Linked DNA regions of Astyanax mexicanus. The protein of the gene in region 3 interacts with the protein of the main gene of each other region in a pairwise test. Links are inferred from orthologs where the notes say so. Each region holds a gene or a part of one and is shown on either strand. Other genes may lie near its edges.

Region 1 (7,672 bases), on a different chromosome or scaffold from region 3:
AGTGCAATGACATGCCAAATGTCACGGGACATAAAACTGTTATCTTGTCCTATAGAACCTAAGAACACTGCACTGACCTGTGGGGTATGAGATATATGTGTTGGGTCTCCTGCATTGAATGTGGATCTGATTTTGGCTTGGATTTTGATAATAATTACAGCTTGTTAAAGCTTTTTGACCCCTTTTATACCTGCTCAATTCATGGAGCTAATATCTAATAATCACATGCATCTCCACTTAAAACTATGTGGGGTGCAGTAAATGTCCTGGTGCTTTAGTTGTAGTGGGGTTTTTAAATTGTTAAATTCATCTTGTAATGACGGAAGTGTTTACACTGCTGTAATGTGTCTCAACTACATCTCAAATCACCCATAAAGTGGATTTGAATGTGTTTAAATGCATTTTGGGTGTGTTTACACTTGTGACTTGCTCTTATCCAGATATAATCCAGATTCTCAGGTTGCATGAAGTGAGCAGGTTGCACTGAAGTGAGAGTGCTGAGCTGAATGAAGTGTGCTAGTGGGTGAGCGCTGTGGATTGCAGGCTGATCCAGCTGACCCTGATGCACCAGCACGCTCTGAGATTTAGAAGGGTTACGGTCAGCGTGACGACGGTGCAGTGGCTGATGACCGATGTTCGGGAGGGTGTGACGCCACCTGCAAGCTCATGCTTTTGTAATCGAAGGCACTAATGACAGAGGAATTAATGGATTATTAATTTGAGAGCTCTGTCAGGCTCAGTCTGTCTGACAGCTTTTCACTGTCATGTATTGTTTACTATGAGTTTCTATATACTAAATAATAGCTGTCAGAATTTAACTTTGGGAGGAAAAATGGTATTTTTACAGTCCTAAAAAATAATGTATTACAGAGGGTTCCATAGAAAAGATAATAGCTGGTTTCTGGTATTATAAACTGGTGGAAATGTAGATCATCCAGCTAAAAACATGCCTTATGTTGGTAAACTAGCTGCTTAACCAGCTCTTTTCCAGTGTAAAGTTTTTTGCGCTTGATTTTGATCATGCTTGGTCTTGCTGGCCATGTTGATAAACCAGTTTGGAACACATCACAGAAGCCATTACCATCCACAGTGGACAGCACAGTGTGTGGTAATGATCGTGACCGGTGTAATCTCGCTAGAATTGTCTGTGCAAGCAGAAATTCCATCCAGATTCAATGTAGTAGACCCCATACATATACCCCTCAGGTCAGTGCGAGCTCTTTAGCTTTAATGGGGCATGGCAAAAGTGATGGAACATAACACTAGCTCTGTCCCACGACATTTGGCATGTCAATATACAGGGGTTGGACAATGAAACTGAAACACCTGGTTTTAGACCACAATCATTTATTATCCTGACGAACAGTTCTGGTGGAAACAGGAGAGTTGAGGTGCACATTAAATTCTGCTGTGTTTTGTTCAGCCGTGGTTTTATGCTTTTTGGATACAATCCAGGTTAGCACCCCTTTCAGACAGCTTCCTCTTACAGGGTCCACAGTTAATCCTGTTGGATGTGGTTCATCCTTCTTGGTGGTGTGCTGACATTACCCTGGATACCGTGGCTCTTGAAACATCACAAAGACTTGCTGTCTTGGTCACAGATGCCTCAGCAAGACGTGCACCAACAATTTGTCCTCTTTTGAACTCTGGTATGTCACCCATAATGTTGTGTGCATTACAATATTTAGAGCAGAACTGTGCTCTTACTCTGCTAATTGACCCTTTACACTCTGCTCTTACTGGTGCAATGTGCAATTAATGAAGATTTTCCACCAGGCTGCTTCAATTTAGCCATGAACACTCCTACACTAAAATGACAGGTGTTTCAGTTTCATTGTCCTACCCCTGTATGTCATAAATGGTGAAATTTACTGAAATTAGAAAAATGCTGTTTTTTAATATGTACTTTTTGTTTTATTACAACATGGTGCAGCCCTAATAATGTACAGTTTTACTATATATTGCCATCACAATCATTATAAGCATCATAATTTCCCTCTTATCTCACGTGCATATATACTATTTATATAGCTTAAACAGGATTAAGCGACTGTTTTGGCCAACCTGACTGTTTTGGCCAATCTGGGCTCTCCATGCCAAACACCACAGACCCTCCTCCCTCTAATACAATTTGCTTGTTCCACCGGCGACATCTATCTGCCGAGTGAGCGGTCCTGTGGTGAGTGTGTTTCTGCTTCCCACTGTCCAGAGCCTCCTGTTTCCAATCTCACTGCACTGAGAAGCTGAAGTGTGATTACAGCACATTACATCCAGCCGAAGAACGGCTTGCAAAAAAATAAACTTCTGAATGTCATACATTTTCTCTCACATAACCACACACATACATGCCAGTAAACTCATGCATGAGTGAGAGATAGTGAGATAGAAAGAGAGAGTGAGATCGTGAATGATTCTGAGATCATAAATGTGTGACAAAGAGGAACAGAGCAAAACACTGAATTCAAGTGAAATGTGAGAGAAAGATAGTGAATGCATGGGAAATAGAGAAGCACAGCAAGACAGTAAATGCATGTGAGGTTGAGTGTGTTTTTGAGAAGGTGATATTGCTAGAGAGAGGAGGCAGATTGAGATAGTGAATGCATGTTTAAGAGAGAGGAAGAGGCAGAGCAACTAACCGTGAGAGTGAAAGTTAATGCATGAGACAGAGAGAGAAAGTGAGAGGGAGAGAGACAAGATAGTGCATGATAGTGAATTTGTGTGTGTATAAGAGGCTGAGAGAGAGGTAGATTGAGATAGTGAATGTATATGAGAGTGTGTGTGTTTGATAGATAGAAGAGGCAGAGTGAGAGTGGATGCATGAGAGAGAGAAAGACAGGAAGAGCAACAGCAATACTGTAAATGCGTGCAAGAGAGAGAAAGAGAGAGTGAGTAAGTAAAAAATAGCCGCGAAAGACATCGAATGCAGGTGAGGGGACTAAGAAAGAGGTAGAGAAAGGGGGGTAGAGCGAGATAGTAAATGCATGTTTACGTGACAAAGAGTGAGATAAAGATAATGAATACATGACAATATAGTGCAAGATAGTGAATTTGTGTGCATAAGTGTGTATGAGACTGAAGGAAAGGTAAATCGAGATAGCAAATGTATGTGAGAGTGTGTGTGTGTGTGTGTTTGATAGAGATATAAATAGGGATAGAAGAGGCAGAGTGAGAGAGTGAATGCATGAGAGAGAAAGAAAGGAAGAGCAACAGCAATACAGTGAATGTGTGTGTGAGAGAGAGAGAGAAAGAGGAAGAAGCAGAGAAAAATAGTGAATTCAGGTGAAAGGGTGAGAGAGAAATAGAGAAAGAGGGGCAGAGCGAGATAGTGAATGCACGTGTATATGTGTAAGAGAGAGAGAGAGATGCAGAGCAAGATAGTGAATACTAAAAAGCGATAGGGGAAAGACAAGATAGTGAATGTGTGTATGAGAGACAGAGAGAGGGTTAGATCGATAGAGTGAATGCATGTGAGAGTGTGTGGGTGTGATAAAGATATAAAGATTGAGAGAAGAGGCAGAATGAGATAGATCTATCTATCTAGCGAATGCATGTGCAAGAGACGGAGCAATATAGTGAATGCACGTGAGAATGAGTGTGTTTGATAGAGATGTAAAGAGAGAAGAGTCCGAGTAAAAGTGTATGCATGTGAGAGAGAGAGAGAGAGAGAGAGAGAGAGAGAGAGAGAGAGAGAGAGAAGCAGAAAAATACCGCATGTGAGAAGGGGGATTCGGTGAGGGGAAAGAGTGAGATAGTGAGTGTGTGAATGCATGTAGTAAAGAAATAGGTGTAGTGAATGTGTGTGTGTGTATGAGAGATAGGGGAAGAGCGATAGAGAGATAGTGCGTGAATGCATGAACGAGAGAAATAGCAATATAGTGAATGCATGTGAGAGTGAGAGATATGGAGGTGTATTCAATGAGTGTGTGATTGAGAGAGGAAGAGCGATAGAGAGATAGTGAGTGAATGCATGAGCGAGAGACGGAGCATAATAGTGAATGCATGTGAGAGTGAGAGATATATTAAAGACAGAAAGGTGTAATGAATGTATCTGTGTGTATGAGAGAGAAAGAGATAGAGAGAGAGAGAGAGAGAGAGAGAGAGAGAGATACGGAGTGGATGCATGAGCGAGAGACGGAGCATAATAGTGAATGCGTGTGAGTTTGTGAGAGAAAGAGAGGGCGCGCGCGGAAAAAGATAGAGCTAATGAATGAGAGATAGGAGGATAGTGAGAGAAAGTGTCTGAGAGTGTGTGTTCCGTGTGTTCTTGCTCTCGGTCTGTGTGTGTGCGTGCTTGTGAGTGTGTGTGTGTGTGTGTGTGTGTGTATGTGTGAGGGATTCCCTCCACCGGGACCTGTAGGAAACCCACGCGCGTGCGCGCGCTGACGCAACTGCCCATTTTAGGAAACGAACGTCAGTGGCGGGCGATACCAACTGAGGCTTAGGGCTGGGGGGGAGCGGGGTCAGCTAAACTAGCCTAAAACTCACCGGGACCACCCGCATCTCACTTTAGGACCGCCCAGAGGCTTGAATTACACCTTCTACCGCATTGTTTTACACAGAAAACTTCCCACAGACTAACCCTGAGTTGTTCCTCTGTGGCTCCTCCCCCTGCGCTCTGTGGTGCGGCCGGTGTGCGCAGGTTGGCGTTGATAAGCAGATGCGAGCGCGCGGTAGTGCCATTGGAGTGAGTCATCGCGCGGAAAGGGTGGTCGCGGGAGCGAGCAGGAGGACCGGAGCGAGGGAGCGCGCATCTACTGAGTGGAAGGAGGCAGCACTGCCGCTCCTGTGAGTCACATCTACAAAAAAAACTGGAGAAAAACAGGAGGAGAACTGCGCTGAGTTTCATTTACTGAAAGTAGGTGAAATAAGAGACTTCTTACAACTTGTGTTAGTCACTCTAGCTTGGCTTACAGCGCTGGAAACATCTTTACTTTTTTTTTATTTCATTTTTATTTTTTCTACAAAAACCTGTTTACTGGACTATATGAACTCTTTCTTGCACGCCTGCTGCTCTCTTTTATTTTTATTTTATTTTTCTCTCTATTATAACAGTATAACAAAAAATAATAATAATACAGAAAGAAAACTGTACATCCGGACATTTAACCCTCTCTAAGCCTGATTTTTCTTCTGATTTTGTTCATATTAGGCTATTATTTCTCACAACACACACATATATATATATAGAGAGAGAAATATATAATTATATAGTATATTAGCTCACTCCAAGGAAACCCCAGCTGTGGGTTGTCTTTAAGAACCAAAAAAAACAACATTTTTTTTCTCCTTTTCGGCTTTGGAAGTGCAAAGAAGACACTCTTCTGACTGAAAACGTGTGGGAGAACTCTACAAACCTGTGAATTTTTTTCTTTCTGTATTTTTTCTTTTGCTGGATCATGTACCAGGAGTACTCCGGGAGCAGCAGCAGCGCCTCCCCGGGCCAGCAGGACTCCTACCCCAACGGGAGCCCCCTCTCAGCCTCCAGCTACCAGGTACGGTCCCCCACCTTCAGCTCCTTCACCACCATATTCACCGGTATAATCACCGGGCCTCAGCACACCTGTAGACACCGGGCTGCTGCTATATAGTCCTATAGCCCATTGGGCTGCTTCTCGCAGTCACTTTAAAGATATACAGTATATAGATATACCATTATACACAAGATACCAATATACACAATAAATCATTATTATCATCACATTTTTGGCTAGTTTAGTTTTCTGTGCATTTTAAATCAAATTATATTGTATAAACCAAAATAATAAAAAAACATATTGTAAGATCTAGCACATATTAATTTATATCCACTAATATTCACTAATTATGGTGAAAAGTGACTCTATAAAAATAGTAACTGTACTGTAGAACCTCGAAAAACACACATTTCCAGTCAATTTCCAGTAAGCTGGCTTTGCAAAAAAAAGTTATAAGTAAAAGTTTTGATTCAATAAAAGTAATAAAATCTCTTATCTTATTATTTTGCAATTTTATAAGACTTTATAAGCCATATAGATATGGATGCTCACAGTCTCTTTAATAGTCTACGAGTGTGCTGAACATAGATTATAATGTGTATTATTTATTGACTTATGATTGACTCAGCTGACTCATTTATATATATATATATATATATATATATATATATATATATATATATATATATATATATATATATTTATAGATGGATATGAAGAAATATTATACATAATATATATATAACATGTATAATCAACAGGGATCAGCTCTGCAAATAAAAGTGAAATCCCAATGATAATAAATAAATCTCAACACCAAAGTTTCAGATGACGTTATAATGACTTTTGTTCATTATGATTTTTCATTTTATTCATTAATAAACAATCCCCCGTGTTTATCTCATTATTACAGTGTTTATTGGTCTCCATATGGACTCAGATTAACACTGTTGGGTGTTAATTCGCCACTGTAGGTGTTAACAGTGGGGGCTCTGCTGTGTACAACATAGTGGTCTTTTAATAGATATAATAAGCCTACATATGTAATATATATATATATATATATATATATATATATATATATATATATATATATATATATATGCACACAGACAGGAATTGAGCAATTGAGCATGGTGTTAAATGAATTTGCGAGCTGATAATTCTGTGTGTGTGTGTGTGTGGGTGGTGGGCGTAAATGTGCGAGCAGCCCACCGAGACTGCGCACACACTGACCGCAGGATGCTCTCCACTTCCACTGACACAATACACTCAATTCTGCTTTCAGCTCATACCAGATGATTTGCAGCACTGAGGTGACATCTGCTGAATGATGAACCAGAGTTTAGCGTTAAAATTTAAGTGTTAAAGTGATTTAGAATAGTGTAATAGTGTAAAATAGAAGATTCTTAGGTTTGTGAGTTTGTGTATTTAAATGTATAGCTGGAATAGTGTATACTTACATTAATTACCCATGTAAAAAGTCAGAATTAGTTTTTTTATTTGTGCGGTATGAGTATTATGAAGATTACAACACCACAGGCTTGGTTGTATTGCGTCATTATTTCTGGGAAGATGTTACACTTGTTTTCCAGTGTAAAATAAAAACAGTTGTGTGGGAATATGTTGAGAAATTAACTCACAAGAATGTCCTTATTGTATAAATAAGGGTATACATGTCGATATATAGATATTTATAGATATATAAAGTGCTACACACTTTATTGCTTCAGTATCACACTCAAACACCTTTGTTTTGGTGCTTACATACAAAAGATACTCCAGTCCTAGAGATTATAAGGTATATTTACTGTCCTAATAGATATTTACTCCAATCTTCCATACATAAACTGCATTTTTAATAAATTAAACATTTGTATATCACAGTCCAACAAAATATTGCAATATCAATCTGTTTTCCAATACCATTAATTCAAAAGCTTCCACTGACACTCTTGATTTGGCCATATAGGCAACCCAAAAACCTGCTAAAACTGTGTTCATATATTAACGTCACAACAAAAGACTAATTATAAAATTACATTAAATAAATATTAATATTTCATATTAAAAGGCTGTGCAGCGATAGAAAAAAAGGCTCATTAAAAATGTCCTAAAACAAATGCTCCAAGTCAAAACTACTGAAAATCTATTAAAAAGTTTAGAAACGCTCCAAACACGAGAGTTAAAAACGCACC
Region 2 (7,606 bases), on a different chromosome or scaffold from region 3:
AGTTTATATTCATGCACTAAATATTATATACTTTTTTGTTCTGAGGTAGAATTTTATTATAATATATTACATTATATATGGTAAGTATTTACAGCAGTATTTAATGCTGTAGCTGTCTGTTACAGATCTAAAACGGCAGCATTGCACACACCTTAAAAAAACTCAAATCTGTCCCAAAATTCAACCACTTCAACAACTACAACTCAACTACTACCACAGTAACCTTTACAGCAACCACATCTGGCCACCTCTGGCCATTATTACAAGCAGTGTGTGAGCCAATGTTAAATTTCCAGATGTGACCCAATAACAAGCCACATTAATGTTGCTATCAGGGAAGACGAAATAACGGCAAGCTGGCACTGTTGTGTGTGTGGTTTCTGCACTAAAAAAGTGTGTGGGGGGAGGGGTGTTGGTGGTGGAAGATGGTAACACACACCAACTGCCTTCCTTCCTTCCTTCCTTCCATGAAGCCAACAGGTGGTTTTGATCACAGGGGCAACAGCAGACAAAGCCTGAGTGCCACTTCAGACCAGTTTCTTAAGCATTTTTAACCATATACATGACAAAAGATCAGTTCTCTGCTTTACAAACCCAACTGAAGACCTACTTTTGCTGGTAGATGGTTCTGGAGGTCTAGGTGGTTAAGAAGCTGGTAATCCAGGCAAAACCATACTTTATACTGATAAGACAATGTCAAGCTTGGTCATACTTGGTCATTCTTGGTCATACTTGATTGAGGACCAGCTAAACCATCAACTCAAACAAAAACACCTCAAAATAGTCCTTGATCTTTGTCTAGGTGGTCACCCAGGAAAAAAAACATATTTTATATTGTAAAGCTAGCTGGTTAACCAGTTCACAAGCATATGGTTTGTTTAATGTGGGGGTTTCGGTCATGCTGGTTAACCAGCTTGGTCTTGCTACTCAGCCAGCTTGGTCATATTGTTGATGATGGGTCAACTAGCATGGTCAACCTTGGTCATAGTGGCTTAAATACCAACAGAAAAAGGAGATTAAAACACTGTTTCATGTATTGTTGGTCAACCAGCATGGTACACAGTTGGCCATACTGACTTGAAGACCAGTTAAACTACGAAACGTGAACAAAAACATACTTTATACTGATAAACTAGCTGTTCAAACAACTTATGACCAGCTTGTTCATGTTGGGTCAACTAGTTTGGTCTTATTGGTCATGCTTGGTCTAGGTTACTGAAAAGCTGTTCATCCAGGCAAAAAACATACTTTATAACTAGCTGTTCAACCAGCTTGGTCATACTTGGACATACTGGCTTGATGACCAGTTAACCCATGAAACACAAACCAAAAACATGCTAAATTAGCTGGTTAATCAGCTCTTGACCAACATATCTTATGTTTCATTTGGTTTTGGTAATGCTGCTTGAATAGCTTGGTCTTGTTAAAGTTGGGTCACCCAGTCTGGTGAGGCTTGGTAAGACTTGGCTTGGTCATACTGTCTTGAAGACCAGCTAAACAATCAAACTCAAACAAAAACCGACCCAATTTCGAATCCTGGTCTAGGCTACTGAAGAGCTGGTCATCCAGGCAAAAACATACTTTATAACTAGCTGTTTAACCAGCTTGGTCATACTTGGTCATTCTGGTTTGAAGACCAGTTAACCCATCAAACTAAGTTACTGGCAAGCATAGTATATATTTTATTTGGTTTTGCTAATACTTGTTGAATAGCTTGGTCTTGTTCATATTGGGTCAACCAGCTTGGTGAGGCTTGGTAAGACTTGGCCATACTGGGTGGAAGACCAGCTTAACCATCAAACTCAAACAAAAACAGACCCAATCTTTGATCTCGGTCTAGGTTACTGAAAAGCTGGACATCCAGGCAAAAAATTTATACTTTATAACTAGCTGTTCAACCAGCTTGGCTTGAAGACCAGTTAACCCATAAAACTCAAACAAAAACACTCTAAAGTAGCTGGTTAATCAGCTCTTGGCCAGCATATTTTATGTTTCATTTGGTTTTGGTATGGCTGGTTGAATAGCTTGGTCTTGTTCATGTTGGGTCAACCGGCATGGTGAAGATTGGTCATACTGGCTTAAAGACCAGGTAACCAATCAAACTCAAACAAAAACACCCTAAAGTAGCTGGTTAATCAGCTCTTGACCAGTATAGTATATATTTAATTTGGTTTTGGTAATGCTGCTTGAATAAACCAACTTGGTCGTATTGATCACCTTGGTCATACTGGCTTGAAGACTAGCTAAACCATCAAAACCCAAACAAAAAAACAAACCCAATCTCTGATCTTAGTCTTGGCTACTTAAGAGCTGGTCATCCAGGCAAAAACATACTTTACACTGATAAACTAGCTGGCTCAACATGTTGGCTGAACCTGTTTGGTCCTATTGGTCATGTTGTCTCAACCAGCATGGTCAAGATTGGTCATACTGGCTTGAAGACCTAAACACACCCAATGCTGATCCAAATCTAAGCTTGTAAACCAGCCACCTTGACCAAGCCATGCCCATTGTCTCAGCAGGGTCCTCAACCCCTGACCCACCAGAGCCGGTGTATAAGTGTGTTTATTTACCTGCGTAATGGTCGAAGACCGTGGGCACGTACTCCTCAGGGAAGGCGTCGTTGGCATAGCTCATCAACAGGCAAGTTTTCCCCACGGCGCCGTCGCCGACCACCACGCACTTCAACATGATCGTGCCGGTCCCGTTTGCCATGACACACGAGAAATCATCATCATCTTCATCATCATCTTCATCCTCACCATCAGCATCATCATCATCATCATCCTCCTCTTCATCCTCCTCCTCCACTGCCTCAGCTTCTTTCTCCAGGCGTCACCAGCGCCCCGCTCCGTCTGCTGCTACTGGCAGAGAGAGAAAAGTGAAGGCTGGACCACCATCTCTCCTCCCAGCTCCCCAAATCTGCCGCGCGGGGGTCCCTGAAGCCCCCCTCTCCACTGCCCCACTTTCCCCTACTTTCTCCGCGCGCCTCACCTCCTTTGACTCTCTCTAGCCTGCACGAGCTCAGGACTCCCGACAGGGGCGGGGTCACAGCTCCGGAGCAAGGGACCGAGGATAAAGTGTGAGAACATAGCTAATAGTGCATCTCAAAAAATTAGAATATCATTGGAAAATTACTTTATTTCAGTAATTGAGTTCAAAATGCGAAACTTATATATTATATAGATGCGTTTATTTATTTTATTGTTGATGGTTATAGCTTACATCTAATGAAAACCCAAAAATCAGTGTCTCACAAAATTAGAATATTACATAAAGACCAATTGGTCTGTGGGCTGTGTGCCAATTCCTGCTGGACAATGAAATCAGCATCTCCATAACAGTCAAACCATCACTGATTGTAGAAACTTCACACTAGACCTCAAGCAGTTTGGACTGTGTGTCTCTCCACTCTTCCCCCAGACTCTGATCCCTTGATTTACAAATAAAATGTAAAATTTACTGATGATCAGTGATGGTTTAATGGAGAGTCATGTCATCTGCTGGTGTTGATCCACTGTGTTTTATTATCAAGTCCAAAGTCAGTGCAGTGTTGGTGTTTTCCTACAAAATCTTACAGCACTTCATGCTTCCCTCTGCTACTGACAACTTTTATGGAGGTGTGAATTTCATTTTCCAGCAGGATTTGGCACACTGCCCACGCTGCCAAAAGTACCAATTGGCCTTATGTAATATTCATTTTTTCGGAGACACTTATTTTTGGGTTTTCATTGGCTGAAAACCATAATCATGAACAATAAAAGAAATAAACGATTAAAATAGATCACTCTGTGTGTAATACATCTATTTAATATATGAGTTTCACATTTTCAACGGAACATTTTCAATTGAAAAGTAACTTTTCAATGTTTCTCTATTTGTTTGAGATGCACTAGTATGTGTGGACACTGATCACAGCCATAACATTAAAAACAAAGTAAGTAAGTAACTGGTAATGTGAAAACATAAATCAAATAATAATTGATTGCCTGATGATGTTATGATGGTATATGTCAAAGAATAGATGTAGATATAGATATATTAGACATAATGTTAGTATAATTCTTATTAGTAGTAGTATTACTACTATCCTACTAAGCTTAGGTTATGACCAGCATGGCAGGGTATGTTTTCATATAAGTTTGATGGTTTATATGCTCCCCAGATAGCAAAAGAACATTGACTCAACATCGTTTTTCCATCTCTAATGCACATTGATTTTACACTGATTCAAAACTGATTCAACAATATGGTATGTGTATATATATGTATTGTATGTATTCAACTACACTTACATTAAAAATGTATACAGGAACTGCCAATTATTTATTTAAAAAAACTGAAAAAATATATTCACACTAAAGTCATTAAAACATGAAGAATAAAATATGGAATTTAGATTTGAAGTACCTCTTGCTTAGATGACAGAGGGGATATACCTGCATTTCACGTTTTGTGGAATTTGCAGATGATCCCTAACACCTTGACGGCAGTCCAATCAGCTGGAAGCGGGTGGGCTGGTCAGGGATGCGCTGCTGTATCACTTTTGACAGCTACTGCAGGAGTCACGTGACCAAACAATTACCTCATACCTTCTGCGTGTGCGCGTGTGTGCGTACGCGAGTGTATGTGTGTGTGTGTGTGTGTGTGTGTGTGAGAAAGAGAGGGAGCGTGAGCGCGCGCGCGCAGGCGTACAAGACTCTGCTGCAGACGCGCCCATAAGGTGGGTTTAGAGATGAACGTCGAGGAGACTGAAGCTCCTCAATCAGGCAAAACACTACCTTTATCCTCCTGCAGAGATCTTTATTACAGTGCAGGAAGCTGCATTTAGAGAGGCTTGCTAAAGCTACGTGTTGCACACTGTTCACTCACACGCACAGTTATACACCGCACTGGGTTTCTTTATGGATGATTTTTTTCATTCATCACACAGTAGTGTGTATAGACCTTCTCGTTTAATGTTATTATATATATTTTATATTTTTCCTTTAGTAAATGAATAGTGAAGTAGTCCAGACTATGAAGGAACACATAAGAAATCATGTAGTAACTTAAAAACACTCTGTGAAGCATTTAGGTGGCTCTAGATCTCATGAACTTATCCTGTGCAAGAGAGGGAACTCTTGCTATTCCTTTTCTGGGGCGCTCCTGATGAGAGCCGGTTTCATCATAATGTTTTTGATGTTTTTTTTTTTTACCACTTCACTTGAGGATACTTTTTTAAGTTCTTGAAATATTTCGTATTTGACTGACCTTCATTTACTTGAGTAGTTGAGTAGCTCTTGTCATAATCTGGATTAGAACATTACTCAAATATTCACTATTCACTGTATACCTGTAACTCTACCTCTTCACTACTTTACAACAACTGATGCTCTCAAACACATTAAGAGACCTGAAAGCCTGAATTCCAGGTGACTGTTGTGTATAAAACTGACTGAGAAAATCCAGCCAAGATGTGCAAAGCTGTCGTCTAAGCAAGAGGTGCTACTTTAAAGAATCTAAAATATAACAGACTTTTTGGTTTGTTTAACGCTTTCTAATCATTTTTTTTTTTACTAAATAAATCCATATGTTTTTCTTCATAGTTAAGAATACTTTAGTGTTAATCTACAATGCAGAAAATGTTAAAACAATGAAAAAACATTCCTCCTCTTTAACTGGTTAAAAATGGAGCTGAATGAGAATTACAAATGCAAAGAAAAACAGTGATAATGAATGATTATAATCATATTTATAAAACTCATAAAACACAAAAATCATATTTTTAGTTTTTGTTATTGTTCATGGTGAGCAAACATGTTCTGTTTCAAAGATATATTTAGATAATCTCCTATTATTTTAATGTATGTGGTATTTTGCCAAGACAGGGTGGATAGTTTTAGCTTTAACTCTTTAAGGTATACAAGGTATACAAAGGATAATATAAGAAATATTAAATGAAATAATAGTAGTAATGGCTGAACATGCAGCAGTACTTGTTTCATTAGTTTCTTAAAGTAAATCAGTATTAAAGTTGTGATGTCACTGGTATCAAACGTCACTGGTTGCTTTCTTAAAGAGGCGGGACTAAATTCACCAATGTAAATATTTGACCAAATGTAATAAAAGAAATCCATAAATAAAGAGGCGGGGCTATTTCCTTTATGATGAGAGGGAGGAAAAGGAATTCTCTGACATATTTTTGAATAGTGTTGTGCTATTAATAGAAAAAATAGCTAAATAAAATATGGTCTATATAAATTTCTAAATATTTATTTAAAAATCATTCTAGTTTAAACATTTTGTCACATTCTTGTCTCTGTGCTTTTTTTTTTTTGCCCTCCTGTTTGTTGATTTACCTTTCAAAGTACATGGCTCTCTCTGTGTTCTCGTTGTCTCCACCCATGCCTTCAGTGCTCCCGCCTGTGTTCATTTGTAGCTCCGCCCACTCATTACCTGTCCCTGGGTGTTTCCCGTTTTCTGTTCCCTCCATGTGTAGTTAAGCCCCTGTGTTTTTATTGTTAGTTTGTTGGTTCTTGTACGTTTTTGTTTTCTTGTCGGTTAGGTTGATGTTCCTTGTCTCAGGTTATTGCTTGTTTTTGTTGGTTAGTTCTGTTTGTTTTTTGTTCATTTCTTTGTTTATTTGATTTTGATTTATAATATTTGATATTATATACTGTTATATAATGATTATTTATGTGTAATTGCGTCCACTCCATGCATCCCTTCCTGCTGCAGCCACTGCAACCCTTATTAATATGTTGTAAACATGTTGTATACATTTGTGATTAATTAAACGGCAAATAAGAAAGCATGTAAGTAAACTTATACTTTTTACACATTTCTTTAAGCTCAGCTGGAGATAAAGCTGTTCCTCAGATGAAGATGCTCAGCAGTGCAGGGATTTGGTTCCAGCTGGGCTGAGCTGGCAGTGCTCGGCGTGCTGCAGCAGCATTACGCCGGGGTTGTGCCCTCTCTGCTGGATTTTATGAGAATTTAAATGATGACTGTGTCCAGATTAAGATATTGGCAGAAGTCTTGGTAGTGTTAGGCTTATCTGATTTCAATAAGCAGCTGTTTGGGGATTAAAAAGAGGCTTTGGAGCTGTGGAGGGAGGCAGAATCAGCTGACTGGTATTGTATATTTGTGGATCTGTACATATTTATTTATTAATCTGCTTTAGGCACAGATTAGGCCTAAAATACAGTAAGAAGCCAGTGTGACTCCGGTGTAAATTTTATTAGGTTGCCTAAAACCTAAAGGGGCATTGTTATGTAACAAATGCATTTCTGATGACTTGCAATAGATCAGAAGGATGACCCTCTTATGAATGAATTTAGCTTAATTGTATTTAATTCAAAATAAAAGCCAAGGCTTTTCTTAATACCTAATTTATTTAATACCTAAAGGGTTAAGAATAAAACAAGTCTCTTAGATGATATTATGTCTCCCTCTTGTGGCAGTCTGAAGTAATTCATAATAACAGCATCTCAAAAAAATAAAATAAAAGAATATCATAAAAAATGCTTTATTTTTAGTTAATCAGTAGAAAATGTAAAACTCATCTTCTATATAAATGTTATGGCAGTAGCTCCAGTATCTGTGTCATTCAAGATTTAGAAAG
Region 3 (7,285 bases):
CACTCTAAAACCATTAAATAAAGCATGAGTTCACAGTGTAGCAACTTAAATAGATCTTATAAATCCAGAACTTCAATGTGTCCACAATAACAATTTATGTGACACCAAAACCATACCAGTGAACCAATAGTGTCACCTGATTAAAGACTGGCCTTTATAAATCACAATAAATCTAAATTAATTTCCATTTTATTTAATTTTTACATTGGTTTTCATTTAATTATTTTAATTAATCGTTTTTAAAATTATTTTATTTTATGTTTTAATGTATTTTTGCATGACAAGTATAAGCTGACTTTTTATGAATTCTTTAATTCACATCATTTGGTATGATCACAACATGCAATAAAACTTAATTTGTTTGAGAGTAGATGTACACAATAAAAGCCCTACTAACAATGGCCAATATTTCAAAAATTACCAAAAATATTTATTTCCAACCAACTTCATGGAGGAAAGCTAAAGGATATCTGGTGATATCATGTTAGAAATACAGGACTGCACTTTTTCATATAAATTGCAAAATATACACATTTTTTTTTTTAATCAACCTAAAGACAGTAATTACCAGCTAATGACAATCCAATGGAAAAGCCTCAAGAGGAAAATAGTAGTGTTGACTCCAAAAGGTGCTTTGCATAGTTTTGTCTTCTTATCATTTACAAACACACACACACACTATAGACAGAGGACACAATAAACTGATCAGACCTGGCTGAGCAGGTTCTGCAGGTCTATTTCTCTAAACATGTATCTCTTTTGTACTAAAATAATAAACCTAAAGAGAGCATTGGCTGGTACACTCCAACACTATTGAGTTCTGATGTTCTCCAGCTCTGTCTGAGCTTTACTCACATTTAAGATGAGTAAGCATCTCTCTTTTACAATGGATCAGGATTTCAAATGTCAGGAATGCAAACCCCCTTACGCAAAACAGGCTCAGCTCAGCAGGAAGGGCAGGTGCATCACGTTTATTGTTAAACTGTAATACCTTTCCTTTTAAATGCCATTTTTAGAGATATATTAGACTGATAATAGCAGTACCTATTTCAATACAAGATTATGATATCTTTTCACACCTATGATGAACTGCACTGAATGTCACTTAAAAAATGTAAAAGGGCAATTGCAGAACGTTAAATATCAGAAATAACTTTCAGCAAACTATTTTAATGAGCGGTAATAAAACTGACATTGTGTAGAATCTGATGGTACTATTTATTGTATAATTCACAGATCAATTAATCATAGGCAGCAAAATCAGCACAAAACCATGTTAATTGCCAACATGGCTAGGATGAGATTCTAATTGAACTGCAGCATTTGATTTTTGTCAGCTGCTAGAGGACTAGGATTAAGGTTAGACTCTTTTTATAATTATTTATAAAAAAGAACAAGAAAATATATTGGCACACAACAAAATGTAACTAAAGCCTAACGTGAACTGAACTACAGGGCATTGGCTGCTGAATTATAAATGCCTGCATGAAGATCAAGAAACAATCTCAGTGCTAAACTTGGAGCAGTATTGATTGGGTCCATGAAATAGAAAAGCACCACCCAGTATCTACAAGAAGACTTCCAAGCATCCTACAGTAAGGAATGGTAAGAAATGGCAGTTCAGGTGAACTGTGGTAGTCAAAATGTGATCTGGAAAAAACAAAACACTGAATTGCTACAGTTAAAACACCCTCAGTATAAAGACAAAACTGATATTAGATATAAAAACACTTATCTGCAACAAACAGAGCTTGTGAACTGTATTTTCTGTCAAAGGGGTTGTAACAAAGCTTTTACCGGGTAAAGTGCATAAACCTTTGCCCAGGCCAAAATGGTTATTCTGATTTGCATATAATATATTTCGGCATAAAAAAGCAGTTGTACATTTGTAGAAAATATTGGCAGTATTAGCCACACATTCTGTGCTTTCTATTTATTAAAATAAAATACATTGATATATATATATATATAAAGTGTCATTTGTTTAGAGATGACCAAATGTTTTGTAGACAGAAATAAGAAGCTTAATCCAGTATTTATACGAATATATTCACTCATTATTAGTTGCTATTTTAATAGTTAGGAATTTTTATATACACAAGAATTCTTAATTGGAAGAAATAATTTACAGCATTTTTATGACATTGAAAAATTTTGGAGAACTGCTAAGGTCAAGATGAATTCTGGAAACAGATGTACATTAGAATTTGGTGACAATACAGTATAACCTACATACTCTGTGCTTATTAATTCCCAATAAGAAATGAATAAAGTGTGTAATTTGTAAAGTAATTTGGCGAGAGTTCCCAAACTTCCACTACTGTTCCACAGAACAGTAGTTTCCTCACACACTGCTGCTGTGTGGTGGGTTAGCTAGGATAGCTAGCTAGCTTCCTGTGACTCTGAACAGTTTAATGAATATTTCACAGTCTGTGTGAGTGTTAAAGCTACAGTGGAGTGGTGGTGTAGGCCCGGTGGTGTGTTGTGTTTTAATAATAACGCTAGCTACCTCCAGTTTGTGGTTGAGCTGGAAGACGGTCTGCGCTTTGTGGCAGAGCTGCGCGAAGCAGGAGCTGAGGCTGGTCATCTTCTGGCGGCCTTCATAGGTGATGTCGGCCTGGTCCGGGTCGATCTCGCCCAGCAGCAGATCCACGTCCACGAACGCCTTGTCGAACTCCTTCTCCAGAACCTCCAGCCAGCGGAACATCGACATGCCCGAGGCCGGAGCTCCGAGCGCGGCTCCCTGCGCGGCGCCCGCCGACATCCCCGCCCTGTAGACCGTCTAACACCGAGCGGATACCCGAGCACCCCCACAACAACACCACCAGCAGCACTGCAGAGCCTCGGTTCAGCGACCCCGCAGCCCTCAGTCTGTACAGCCCGGCTCTCTGAGTCCCTTAAGCTCAGTCTATCACAGTCAGAGGAGAAGGAGGAAGAACTTCAGCGGAGGAGTAAATACCGCTGATCCTCCTCCTCTAAACACAGCAGGATGTCCGTTTTCAGCAGGGATCGATTACACTGGTCTGCCACACGATTAGGCCTCCAGAGAGAGAGAGCGAGAGCAACAGATCACCGATATGATCGATCGATCTGTTTCAGGAACACTTCACTCAGTCCGCTGATCTCACACAATATTTTTACCAGCTTTTTTATTATTAATATTGAGCTTTTGTACTTTAAATGCTGCTCATACACTACACGACTTAAAAAAAGACTCTAAAAATACTTTTCTTATACTAAGGTCTGACACTCCCTCACGTCTAAAGACAAGTCACAGACTTTTTACTAACATATTTTGCTAAGACTGAGGATCACTAACTGTAAGACTGCAGCTAGATTCTTTCTGAGAATATTTCCCATCAAGCTTCTGGTGGAGGTTACATACAAGACATGTTACATATTAAGTTAAAAATAATGTGTAAATCAATACTGTGATTTATCAGAGACTCACATCAACAGTTTATTTTTCGGCCACACTTATTTCTTGATATTTTTAATAGAATACATTTTGTGTTCAACTCTTCTTATAAGCATACAACCTTGTAAAGCAATCAATCACAGTTTCACTGATATACATTTGCCTTTGTTTTAGATTAATGCAATAAACAACATCATTCTTGCAAAATGTGTATTTATTAAACTTGTTTGTATCAAAAATAACACTGCACAATAAGACACAATCCTGACTCTGGAAATTTTTCTGCAACAGTGAAATTGCTTGAAAATCGTTATGTCTAAGGTCGGCATAATACAATACAACAAAGTTAAACAGAAACAGCAATAGGCTAATTTCAAGATTCATATATCCAACAACCATACCTGTCAAGTTTTAGAAAAATAAGGGATATTTTCCTCTGTCCGCTTAAAGTCGTCCCACCAGCCCAACGAAGGTTCAGTATCTCTTACATTTTAAAGACAGGTTTACAAAAAATCTAAAATAACCACAAGTGAACCACTTACACACTACAATTAGATTATCAGAATCTGAAATGTTGTGGACATTCCTACATATATCATTCTTTTAATACAGCCAAATTAAAAATCATTTTCAAGATATTAAGATTAAGATTAAGATTTCATGTCTTTTTGCCATACATGCACTCTTTTATATTATATTTTTTTTATTTATTTAATAGATTTAAAATTTAACAAAGGGGGCACAAATTCTGCAAAATGACTGTAGGTGACCTAAAAATAGTATTATGAGCTTTTACTAAAAGGACATGGACCAGATATATTCCATCAGTAAAAATTAGTCCTAAGTGGCCTACACAATTAATCATTTTTAATTAATACTTCTTCCTTTTGATCACTCCACCCCTGATCAGTTCAGTTCATTTCGGTCACAAGCTGTAATTTTTTTTTTAATTTTAAAATGTTTAATCTGTGTGTTTTATTTCGGAGACGAGTCTTTTTAAGCAGCTATCAGAAAAATCTCATCACAGTTTACATGATTAGCCTACCGTTACATTTTTTTAAGAAAAATCGCTGTATATCCAGATCTGTTTTAACATCAGCAGCTCCGACTAGCTGCCTGAACTCACAGCGACGGGGGGCTTCCCCACACTGACCCTCCTTTGCAAGCTGATTGGCTGTTTCTCCTGAAAGGCGGGACTTTCTCCTTGAACCGGCTCCACGATTGGTTAAGAGACAAAGAGCGGTCAGTGCCCTGTCTCCTCAATAATATATATTTTTTAATTTTAATATAATACGGGAAATTTACGGAAAAATACTAATACGGGAGGACGGCGGGAAAGAGGAGTAAAATACGGTAGTTTCCCGGCCAAAACGGGAGACTTGACAGGTATGCCAACAACATAAAAAATAAAAATATAATAAAATAAAAAAGCAAACAAACAACAAAACCAACAAAAAAAAGCTAAAACTGAAAAGCTTCAAAGTATGAATAGATTTTTGAAATTTCTTATTTTTCGAAAATGTTTAATTTTATGGGCCCCATGTGGGTTTATGATGGGCTAAATGATGGGCCCCAACAAGTTTAACCATTTAGGACCCAACACATTTTGTCCTTAGTCTCTATGCGGGCCCCTTGAGCAGCATATGGGTTAATGACGGGTTTAAGATGGGTACAGTGTGGAACCCTAATGGGTAGCATATGTGGGGTTTTTATGGGCCTTTAATTTAGAACCAAAGTGGGTTTTACATGGGTAAAATATGGGCACAGGTTGGGCCATTAATGGGCAAATAGAGCTGAGGACACCTGGGGCCATTATGTGCACTGTATAATGGGCCCCATCAGGGTAACCCATTATAAAGCACTCTTTTTATTGTACTCGGTCTCCATGAGGGCCCCTTATGCAGCAGCCCATTTAGGTAATGAGTTGGGTTTTAAAGTAAAATAAAGGGTCATTAAAAACATACAATACAGCTTTATTGTATTACATTAAATTGTATATAGCTTTACTATCTAACCTTCTCTTCAAATCTAAAAGAAGATCATTCCAAAAAAAAAAACACAATACAAAAAACATGGATTCAAAGAGCAGATAGTAGGACAATTCTGAAGACCCTGAAGATTGTATTCCTTAGTAATACTTTAGATTTACCTACTGAAGGATTCTTAATTATGGCACTGCATTTATTAAATAATAAGTAAAGACTAGTTTTAGATATGTACTTAAAACCAGAACCATCATCTTAGGCTTTAAAGCATTTAAGCAAAAAAGTATTAATATTTAATATTTGTGTACATATACAATTATATGTAGGTTTATCCACCGCAGATTTTTGATCTTCTCATAGGTGAACAGTACGTGAACGATTAATTGCTTTACAAAAGCTGTGAAGTGAAAAATTGCACATTTATTAAAATATTTTACCTATGTTATTTTTGTAAGATACACAGAATATTCCAAAAAAAGACTAAACAAATACATTTATAACAAACAATGAGACTTCCTTTGAAAAGTTAACCAAAATTAATAATAAAAAACAAAATACAGTTTTGTACTGCAAAGATTTTCATGATTTTAAGATTTTTCTGTGCAGACAGTATCCTTCTTATAGCAGATATAAGAAGTCATCACAGTAAACAATATTTGTAGCAGGTAAGAGATTTTCAGTTCTTCATTGATGGGTGTTTGCTCATTCTTCCTTGTTGTTAAAAGCTTCTAGTTTTGGGAGATTCAGGGGCTGTCTTACATGAACTGCTTTTCTGACACCTGTTTACAGATGTTTGTTGAATTTTAAGTGCTGTGAGAGCCTTTGTGGATTTTGAGATGTGTTTAGAATCATGTTGTAAAAGTAATTCTCTTTTTCTCAACAGCTTTTGTTTTTACAGAAGGTGTGATTAATTCCAGATTTTAATTTCAATTGTTAATTATATCCATTTTCCCAGTCAAATTATATTACCAGTCAAATGCTCCCTGTTACACTGGCTGCATCACAAGCCCAAAACTTGATTGATCCACCCCATGGTTAACAGATAAAAATGGCTTTATACCACTGCATCATTTAGTTTTTACTTTAGCTTACTTAACTTAAACATACTTTAAATTGTGGCCACAAATAGTCATAGTCATAGTTTCTTTATTTATCTCCCAAGGAGAAATTTTGCTTGGATTGAGGGCATACTGCATTACAACACAAAACAGACAAACATACAAACAAAAATATATGTGTATAGTGAAGCAATACCCATTTGGTGAGTGAAACCAATTCCAGAGAAACACATTTTAGGAGTACCCCACACCCCCCATGTCCTTGGTGGCAATAAAGGGGCATTTCACCTTGACCTGATGTTTATACTGTTCTGTCCTTGTGGTCTGATAAGAGTAAATGAGTTTTTTTTTTTGGTGGGAGGTGTCAGATCTGCTCACCCATATAAATGGTGTGCACTTAATGTTTAAATGTTTGTAATAAACAGTGTTGATAAGGAGAGTTCCCAGACCCCAATTTTGCAGAAACAACCATTACATTTCTGTGAAGGCTTTGCACTGGATGTTGGAACGTTTGACAGTATTTACAAATTCAATTTATTAAAATAGTTATGTGAGCTGTTTTGGATCTCAACTAACAGATAAACAGAGAATCATCAAATGAGCCTGTGCTCTTCTGTGCATTTATCTAACCCTATCATTTCTATCTTTTTAATAACTGTACTCACCATCTGCACATACCGATCACTTTATTAACTTTATTACTTTATTAACTTTATTACCTCCTGGCAAAACAGGAATTAAAAGATAAATATACTGTAGTCTATGACTAGACTTAATGCATGTCTGTGAAATGGCCCCTATATCTCTCATTATTTATTATTGAA
Region 4 (7,261 bases), on a different chromosome or scaffold from region 3:
GGTCAGCTGTTTTTATCTGCTTTTTATCTTGAGGTCAGTCAGAAAATAACCAATAAAATCAGACTTGTTATCATATCAGTATCTTCCTTTACACCTAAAAGGTGGTGTTTTCACAGCACAGGATGACAATTTTACATTTCATTTTCAACTTATGGTAAAAAAATATATGGGCATGGGCATACACATTTTTGACCTTGATATTGTTCATTATGTTTTTCACAGAGCATGTTTTATTTTGGGTAGTGGGTCCTTCTCAGCACTGCAGTGACACTGGCAAGATGGTGGTGTGTTTGTGTGTGTGTTGTGCTGGTACAACTGGATCAGACACAGCATTGCTGCTTGAGTTTTTAAACTACTCACTACTCACTCATACCTAATGTAGCTGCTCACCTTTTAAATGTAAAATCAAAGGAAGAAGTCAGTGTCAGTGTGTCTTTGGAATTCTTGCTTTGGGCATAACATGAAATTAAAAAAAATCAGAACGTCTGTGTGTGTGTGTAACGAGTGGTGGTGTACGCTAACAACTTTCATGGCATGCACAGCACTTCTGCATGGCTAAAATAGTATTGGACGGCTGACTGTTGACTGTTGTCAGGGTTTAATCAGTCATGGCGCACCTGTATTTCAGAAACATGCCAGATATTTACCTGAACACACCTCATTTTCAGACCTTGGTGCCCACCAATGCAGATATATTCCTAAACTCAGACGCTTATTTAATGATGCAGAGGCATGCAAATAGACTGTTGATGGGGGTCACATGATGCTGTCCATATGACAATGTTGCACTATTCTGATTCCAGCAGTAAGATTGAGAAGTTTAAAAACTCCAGCAGCACTGCCACGTTTGATCCGCTCATGCCAACACAACACACACTAACACACCACCACCCTGCCAGTGTCAGAGCAGTGCTGAGAATGACCCCCTACCCAAATAACACATGTTCTGGGGAAGTACTCTGATTTCCTGACCATAGAAGAAGAGGGTATGCAGAGAAATAGAATTACTACAGTTTGTAGTTCTAGAACTACAAAGTGCTCCTATATGATCAGCAGAGCTGAACAAACTGGTAATGGGTGTAGAAACAAGGAAGTGGTCATAATGTTTTGCAAGATCAATGCTATCTTAATAATTAAGTGCGTTGCTCTTTGAAAAGGTGTAATTGCATTATATTGGTGTCCCATTTTCATCATATTATTAGCGTAAAAGTTTAATTAATGTCTAATGATGACAATAATAATTTGTTGCAGTAATGTTTCAAACAATATTATCGTCCAAACAAAAACGGCTGTTGTGACTGGCCTAAATGTAAACTTTTTCATCCCATTCCATCTGGACATCAAACTTTAGAGATTTCTCATCATTTAGTTTCAAAACCTCATACAGAAGCTGTTGAAAACATGTAGCATGTAGACAGTAGCATCCAAGGCCTGCGGCACCATACGTGACCTTATTGAGGAATTTGCATGCCAACGTTTTTTTGCGACATCTCTGCAATTATGCCCAAATGAGGTGGTTTGGTGCCCCGATTAGGGAGTGCCACAGCCGTATAGCACAGTGTTTCCTAGACTAGATTGAATAGTTATAGATACAGTATAGAATGTGTTATGCTGTACTGTATATTCAGATTCCGAGGTCTCCGCTTGAAATCCCAGCAGGCGCTCAACTTGGGCATTGTATTTTTTTTTTAATTATCTAAACCAAAAACGACTAGCAATGACCATCTCAAAACCCTTTAAAAACATTAAAACTCTCTAAACCAAGGATAGAAAATGTTCTGCCTACTGATGGGTTCTCCAGTGCCACTCTGGAGTGTGCAAATAACACATTATACATGTAAAACACCTTAGTCAGACTGTCCTTATCAAAAGTCGCTCATCATTTCAGGAAGATTAGGCTGAACACAGAGCTGACGACTTCTGGAAAGAGCTTTAGGATGATGTTTATGGGACTTTGAAACACTATATAAGAGAACACATTTGAGGCTTGGTTTTATACACAGCAAATTTGACAGTAACTTGTAAAACACTGTAAATTTTACATAACATAAGTGTTTATTTAACACTGGGAAAATTGTGGTGTACCCTTTTGGATTCTGTAGAACATTTTTTAAACATCATTTTAAGATTATTTTATGACTTTTCTCATTTTAATTTGTCTTTCACGTTCCATTAAATAGAAATAGCACTAATAGAAATATTAGTGCATTTCATAGCTGTCTATTGAAAAAGATGTATCTCCAAAACAGGAACTTTACAGGAGAGAGATAAAACCTTCTTAACTTTCAGTGGAAGTCAATGTAAAAATACTTTATTTTAGATAATTTTGAAGAAAAAAATATTGGTCCATTCATCAAGATTTTTTGACACAGAATAAAAAAATGGAGATACTCGTTTTTAGTTGGACAAACCAGAGGATATTCACTACACGCTAATAATACACTATGTTTAAAGTGTTTCCCAATTAGCCTACGTAAAATCCTACGCAAAAAAGTGAGGAAACTCATTACTAAACGCTTTTGCTGCGTCAAATATCTTAGTTAACTTAGCTACCAAACATTTTTTCGTCCACTTAAACGTTATTAACTCAAAATATATTTAAATTACAAATAAAATACTGAATTAAAATGATAAAACCCTTTAGTTTTAAACCCTAAAGTAATATTATATAAAGGTATTCACTTTCTGTGACATTAAGCCCGTTTAAACTGGAAGCGGTTCACTGTGTGAAATATGCCGGTTTGTTTTTAATCTCAGAAACAGGAGAATTTAGGAATGTCGTGTTGTTACCTGTTGAGTTGTGAGGTGGAGCTCCAGCAGTGTAGTAATATAATTTAATTCCAGTGGTGGTAAAGCGGCTTTTCTGGAGGTTTAAAGGTGTAGAAGCTGCTGTTTAAGCCGGTTCCTCCATCGCTCTGTGTGTGTGGGGCTGAGCCGGGCAGTGGAAGTGAGAAGATGTACAGTGAGAGCGAGCTGCTGAAGAGGAAGTTAAGCGGCTACTGAGGCCGAGGGCAATCATCTGCGCCGAGTCACGAACATCCGCCTGTTTCCCCCCCCTCTACACACACACACACACACACACACACACACATTGCTGAGCACAGCAGTCTTTAGTGTGTGATATATTATAGGTAAGTTATATGGTATAGATAAAAAAATATATATATATAATAATAATAATAATAATAATAATAATAATAATAAATAGTATTATTATTATTGTTTTTATTGTTAAATAGTTATTGAATAGATACATTATTTTTAGCTCTACTACTACTAGTACTACTACTAGTACTAATTTATATATATTTATACATACAGGGGTTGGACAATGAAACTGAAACACCTGTCATTTTAGTGTGGGAGGTTTCATGGCTAAATTGGACCAGCCTGGTGGCCAATCTTCATTAATTGCACAGAGTGTGAAGGTTCAATTAGCAGGGTAAGAGCACAGTTTTGCTCAAAATATTGCAATGCACACAACATTATGGGTGACATACCAGAGTTCAAAAGAGGACAATTTGTTGGTGCACGTTTTGCTGGCGCATCGGTGAACAAGACAGCAAGTCTTTGTGATGTATCAAGATCCACGGTATCCAGGGTAATGTCAGCATACCACCAAGAAGGACTAACCACATCCAACAGGATTAACTGTGGACGCTGTAAGAGAAAGCTGTCTGAAAGGGATGTTCGGGTGCTAACCCGGATTGTATCCAAAAAACATAAAACCACAGCTGATCAAATCACGGCAGAATTCAATGTGCACCTCAACTCTCCTGTTTCCACCAGAACTGTCCGTTGGGACAATACATTATTTTGGTCTAAAACCTGGTGTTTCAGTTTCATTGTCCAACCCCTGTACATATATCCAAACACGAGCCTCTTTTCCCCGACCCAAACTGGGGCCCAAGATTTCCCATCACGTTTCTTTTGTCCTGTTGAAACAGGCTCAAGAAAATGGTCTGTGATTTAGGTCTACATTTGTTATGCCAGTTTTTGTTTTATATAAAGCTATGGTTTGATAACCACAATATAGCAAAGTAACAGATCACACTGTATTTGTTATAATCATGTAGCACTGACCAGCTGCTCCACTTGTTTGCATTACACTTTAGAGTTCCATTCTTAATAAAGAGTTTTCTCAAATAATAGGCCTATATAACTCTGTTCATTAACATAATTCTGATTAAATAATCATCATCGGTTTTAATAATCTACTTACTTTAAATAATAATAGTAGAAGCAGTGGTAATAGTAACAGGAGTATAGTAGTAGTAGTGGTAGTACTGGTTGTAGTAGTACTAGTGGTAGTAAAAGTAGTAGTAGCAGTGGTAGTACTGATAATAGTAGTAGTAGTAGTAGTAGAAGTAGTAGTAGTAATAATGGTGGCAGTACTGGTAGTAGCAATAGTAGTGGTAGTAGAAGTAGTGACAAAGTTATATTAATATATATATTTGTACAAATTTGTTTAGCTTCTGCAACAATACAATTTTATCAACAGCTAATGGACATACACACACACTGACACACACAGTTGTAGTGAGTATTTCAGTCACATGGGGACACATAGGCAGTGATCCTCTAATCCCTTATCAAAAGCCAGGATTAAACACCAACTTCCTTCACAGAAAGAGAGAGAGAGAGAAAGAGAGAGAGAGAGAATCATAGTAGAGAAAGAATAATAGGGGCTGGTTATAAGACTTCTCTGTGATTAAATCCCCCATCTGTCCACTGCTAAATGAAGAGATAGAGTGAAAAAATGATTAGGGAGAATTGGAATCATGCTCTCTCTCTCTCTCTCTCTCTCTCTCTCTCTCTCTTTCACGGTTATGCTCATACACACCCACGCACTGACACACACCGAGAGGTCACAGCAGCCGGAGAGGTCTCTCCAGTTGTAAGCTTCTACACGTTTACACACTAGTTAGGTAGTATTTGATCTCTCCACACTCACAAAAGCACCTCTATGCAAATATTACTGACAGATAAAGAGGAAGTTGGACACCAGAGTGTCGATAAATAGTTAGCCAAGCAATTAATGTGCAGAAACTGGCTTCCACAGGCCTTAAAACTACATAACTTCTCATAACAGCGCTGTCTTCATACGCGTTGAGAAAAACTGGGTCAAGATTTAGGCCATTGGTTTAGCTTGTGCAAGTTGTATTTACACTCATGGTTTGAAACAGACGTATCGTAAAAGTGCTACGTATCAGCACTGAACCAGAAGGGATTTTCTTGCAATCGCACACTAACACTGTAAATACAGCTCTGGAAAAATAAGAGACTCCTTAAAAATTAAAAATTAATTAATTTTAACAAATTAAAAACATCTGTAATATACTCAAGAGAAAGATGGATGATCACAAGACATCAAACCAAGCTGAACTGCTTGAATTTTTGCACCAGGAGTCGCGTAAAGTTCTCCAAAAGCAGTGTGTAAGACTGATGGAGGAGAACATGCCAAGATGCATGAAAACTGTGATTAAAAAACAGGGTTATTCCACCAAATATTGATTTATAAATTCTACAAAACTATGAATATGACAATGACAATATTTTTATTTGGAATTTGGGAGAAATGTTGTCCATAGTTTATACAATGAAACAACAATGTTCATTTTACTCAAACATAAACCTATAAATAGCAAAATCAAAGAAACTGATTCAGAAACTGAAGTGGTCTCTTCATTTAAATAAAAATACAAATTTACAGAAGATGGAAAACCATTCAGTGAAAGTCAATGCAAAAATATTTTTGTTCTTGTTTTTCTTTACTTTTTAACATACTAGACATTTAGAATATAATTGCACTTGTAGTTTGCATAGGATAAGAAGTTAAAACATAAAAAAAGTGTAATTGATATTTTTTCTAATCTTAAACAGTTTAGGAAACTTTCAGTCCAAAAAGATGAGAGCTTCAGGGTTTCAGGGGATTTCTATATACGCAAAATTAGTAGTGAAGGCAATCATCATTTATTTTAGTATACTGAGTCAAAGTGTATGAGGAAACCCCAAATATTGCAAAAAAGGGTCTGGTTTAATCAAGGAGTTCCTTAAAATGTAGAGTGTACTAAAAATACAATTCCAGAAATCTGTAAGGTTTGGGCAATTTCCAAAACATGTAGACAATTTGCAGGGGACAGGACACATCTACAATTAGGATTTACATTTTGGACAATCTTTCCCTTGTCCAGTAAGCCCTTCAAGAACCTAAACACTGAGTTCTTCAGGAGCACTTACTCTTCTTACTTCGTAGCCACTACAGTGACGTCATGTAAAAAAAAAAAAAGAAACGTGTTGCCACAACTTATTAGGGTGTGAGGACGAGATCCTAATGTGTGGCCACGACTTATTAAGGTGTGGGAACTAAATAATTAAGCTGTGGGGAACACTTATTAAGCCGTGGGTATGAGACTTTAATGCATGGCCAAGACCTAGTAAGTCTTGGGAAGGAGACAATTAAGGTGTGGGGACGTGATCCTAATGTGCGGTCATGACTTATTAAGGCATTGAAATGAAATAATTAAGCTGTGGGGATGACTTATTAAGGCGTGGGTATGAGATTCTAATGCATGACCAAGACTTGGTAAGGCTTGGGAAAGAGCCAATTTAGGTGTGGGGACGAGATCCTAATGTGCGGTCACGACTTATTAAGACATGGGAATGAGACAATTAAGTTGTAACTTAATTGATAACTTATTTTGGAATGGTAATGAGATCCCACTGTGTGGCCACAACTTATTAAAGTGTGGGAACACGAAAATTAAGACCTGGCCATATAAATTGTCCCCACCACTTCAGCATCTTGCTCCTTCACTTTAATACGTTGTCTCAAACTTTACTGTCTCGTTCCCATGCCTTATTAAGTCGTCTGCACAATTTAATTATTTGTTCTCAAACTTTAATAAATTGTTGCAATGACCATATTATCTCATTCCCATAGCTTATTAAGTCATCCACATGACTTATTTATCTAATTTCCCATGCATTAATAAGTGATGGCTAGGCTATTTTTTACGTGAAGTCACCTTAGTACACTGTTTTTTCATTTAGCTCAAGCTAACACTAAGGTGTAGTAAATTTTTAGCGTAAACACGGTTTGGCCAGCAACAGCTTATTTACATAAAAGTGACAGAGCCCTTAAACGGCTCATTCTGAAAGGGACTGAAACTGGTAAGAAAATAGCTGGTGAGATCTATTTGTGAGATTGATTTTGTGCAAAGTACCTCATGAACATGTTTTGTAAACTTGGAAAAAAAGA

The links.
Region 1: the proteins of gopc (region 3) and fosl2 interact in a two-hybrid assay, tested with the Homo sapiens proteins (2 studies listed by BioGRID and IntAct). The two-hybrid records come from large-scale screens. The link is inferred for Astyanax mexicanus from reciprocal best matches to the Homo sapiens genes GOPC and FOSL2.
Region 2: the proteins of gopc (region 3) and rhoq interact in a two-hybrid assay, tested with the Homo sapiens proteins (2 studies listed by BioGRID). The link is inferred for Astyanax mexicanus from reciprocal best matches to the Homo sapiens genes GOPC and RHOQ.
Region 4: the proteins of gopc (region 3) and hck interact in binary tests that used the Homo sapiens proteins (3 or more experiments, as listed by UniProt). The two-hybrid records come from large-scale screens. The link is inferred for Astyanax mexicanus from reciprocal best matches to the Homo sapiens genes GOPC and HCK.

What each region holds. Positions count from the first base shown.
Region 1 is NC_064421.1:9,779,664-9,787,335, reverse strand, and holds the start of fosl2 (fos-related antigen 2), read left to right. Parts: upstream 1-4,662; 5' UTR 4,663-5,396; coding exon 5,397-5,492; intron 5,493-7,672.
Region 2 is NC_064422.1:39,689,204-39,696,809, forward strand, and holds the start of rhoq (rho-related GTP-binding protein RhoQ), read right to left. Parts: upstream 3,020-7,606; 5' UTR 2,716-3,019; coding exon 2,574-2,715; intron 1-2,573. UniProt on the Homo sapiens protein: Plasma membrane-associated small GTPase which cycles between an active GTP-bound and an inactive GDP-bound state. In active state binds to a variety of effector proteins to regulate cellular responses. Involved in epithelial cell polarization processes.
Region 3 is NC_064408.1:80,413,192-80,420,476, forward strand, and holds the start of gopc (Golgi-associated PDZ and coiled-coil motif-containing protein), read right to left. Parts: upstream 3,010-7,285; 5' UTR 2,765-3,009; coding exon 2,510-2,764; intron 1-2,509.
Region 4 is NC_064420.1:31,466,392-31,473,652, forward strand, and holds the start of hck (tyrosine-protein kinase HCK), read right to left. Parts: upstream 3,015-7,261; 5' UTR 2,791-3,014; intron 1-2,790. UniProt on the Homo sapiens protein: Non-receptor tyrosine-protein kinase found in hematopoietic cells that transmits signals from cell surface receptors and plays an important role in the regulation of innate immune responses, including neutrophil, monocyte, macrophage and mast cell functions, phagocytosis, cell survival and proliferation, cell adhesion and migration.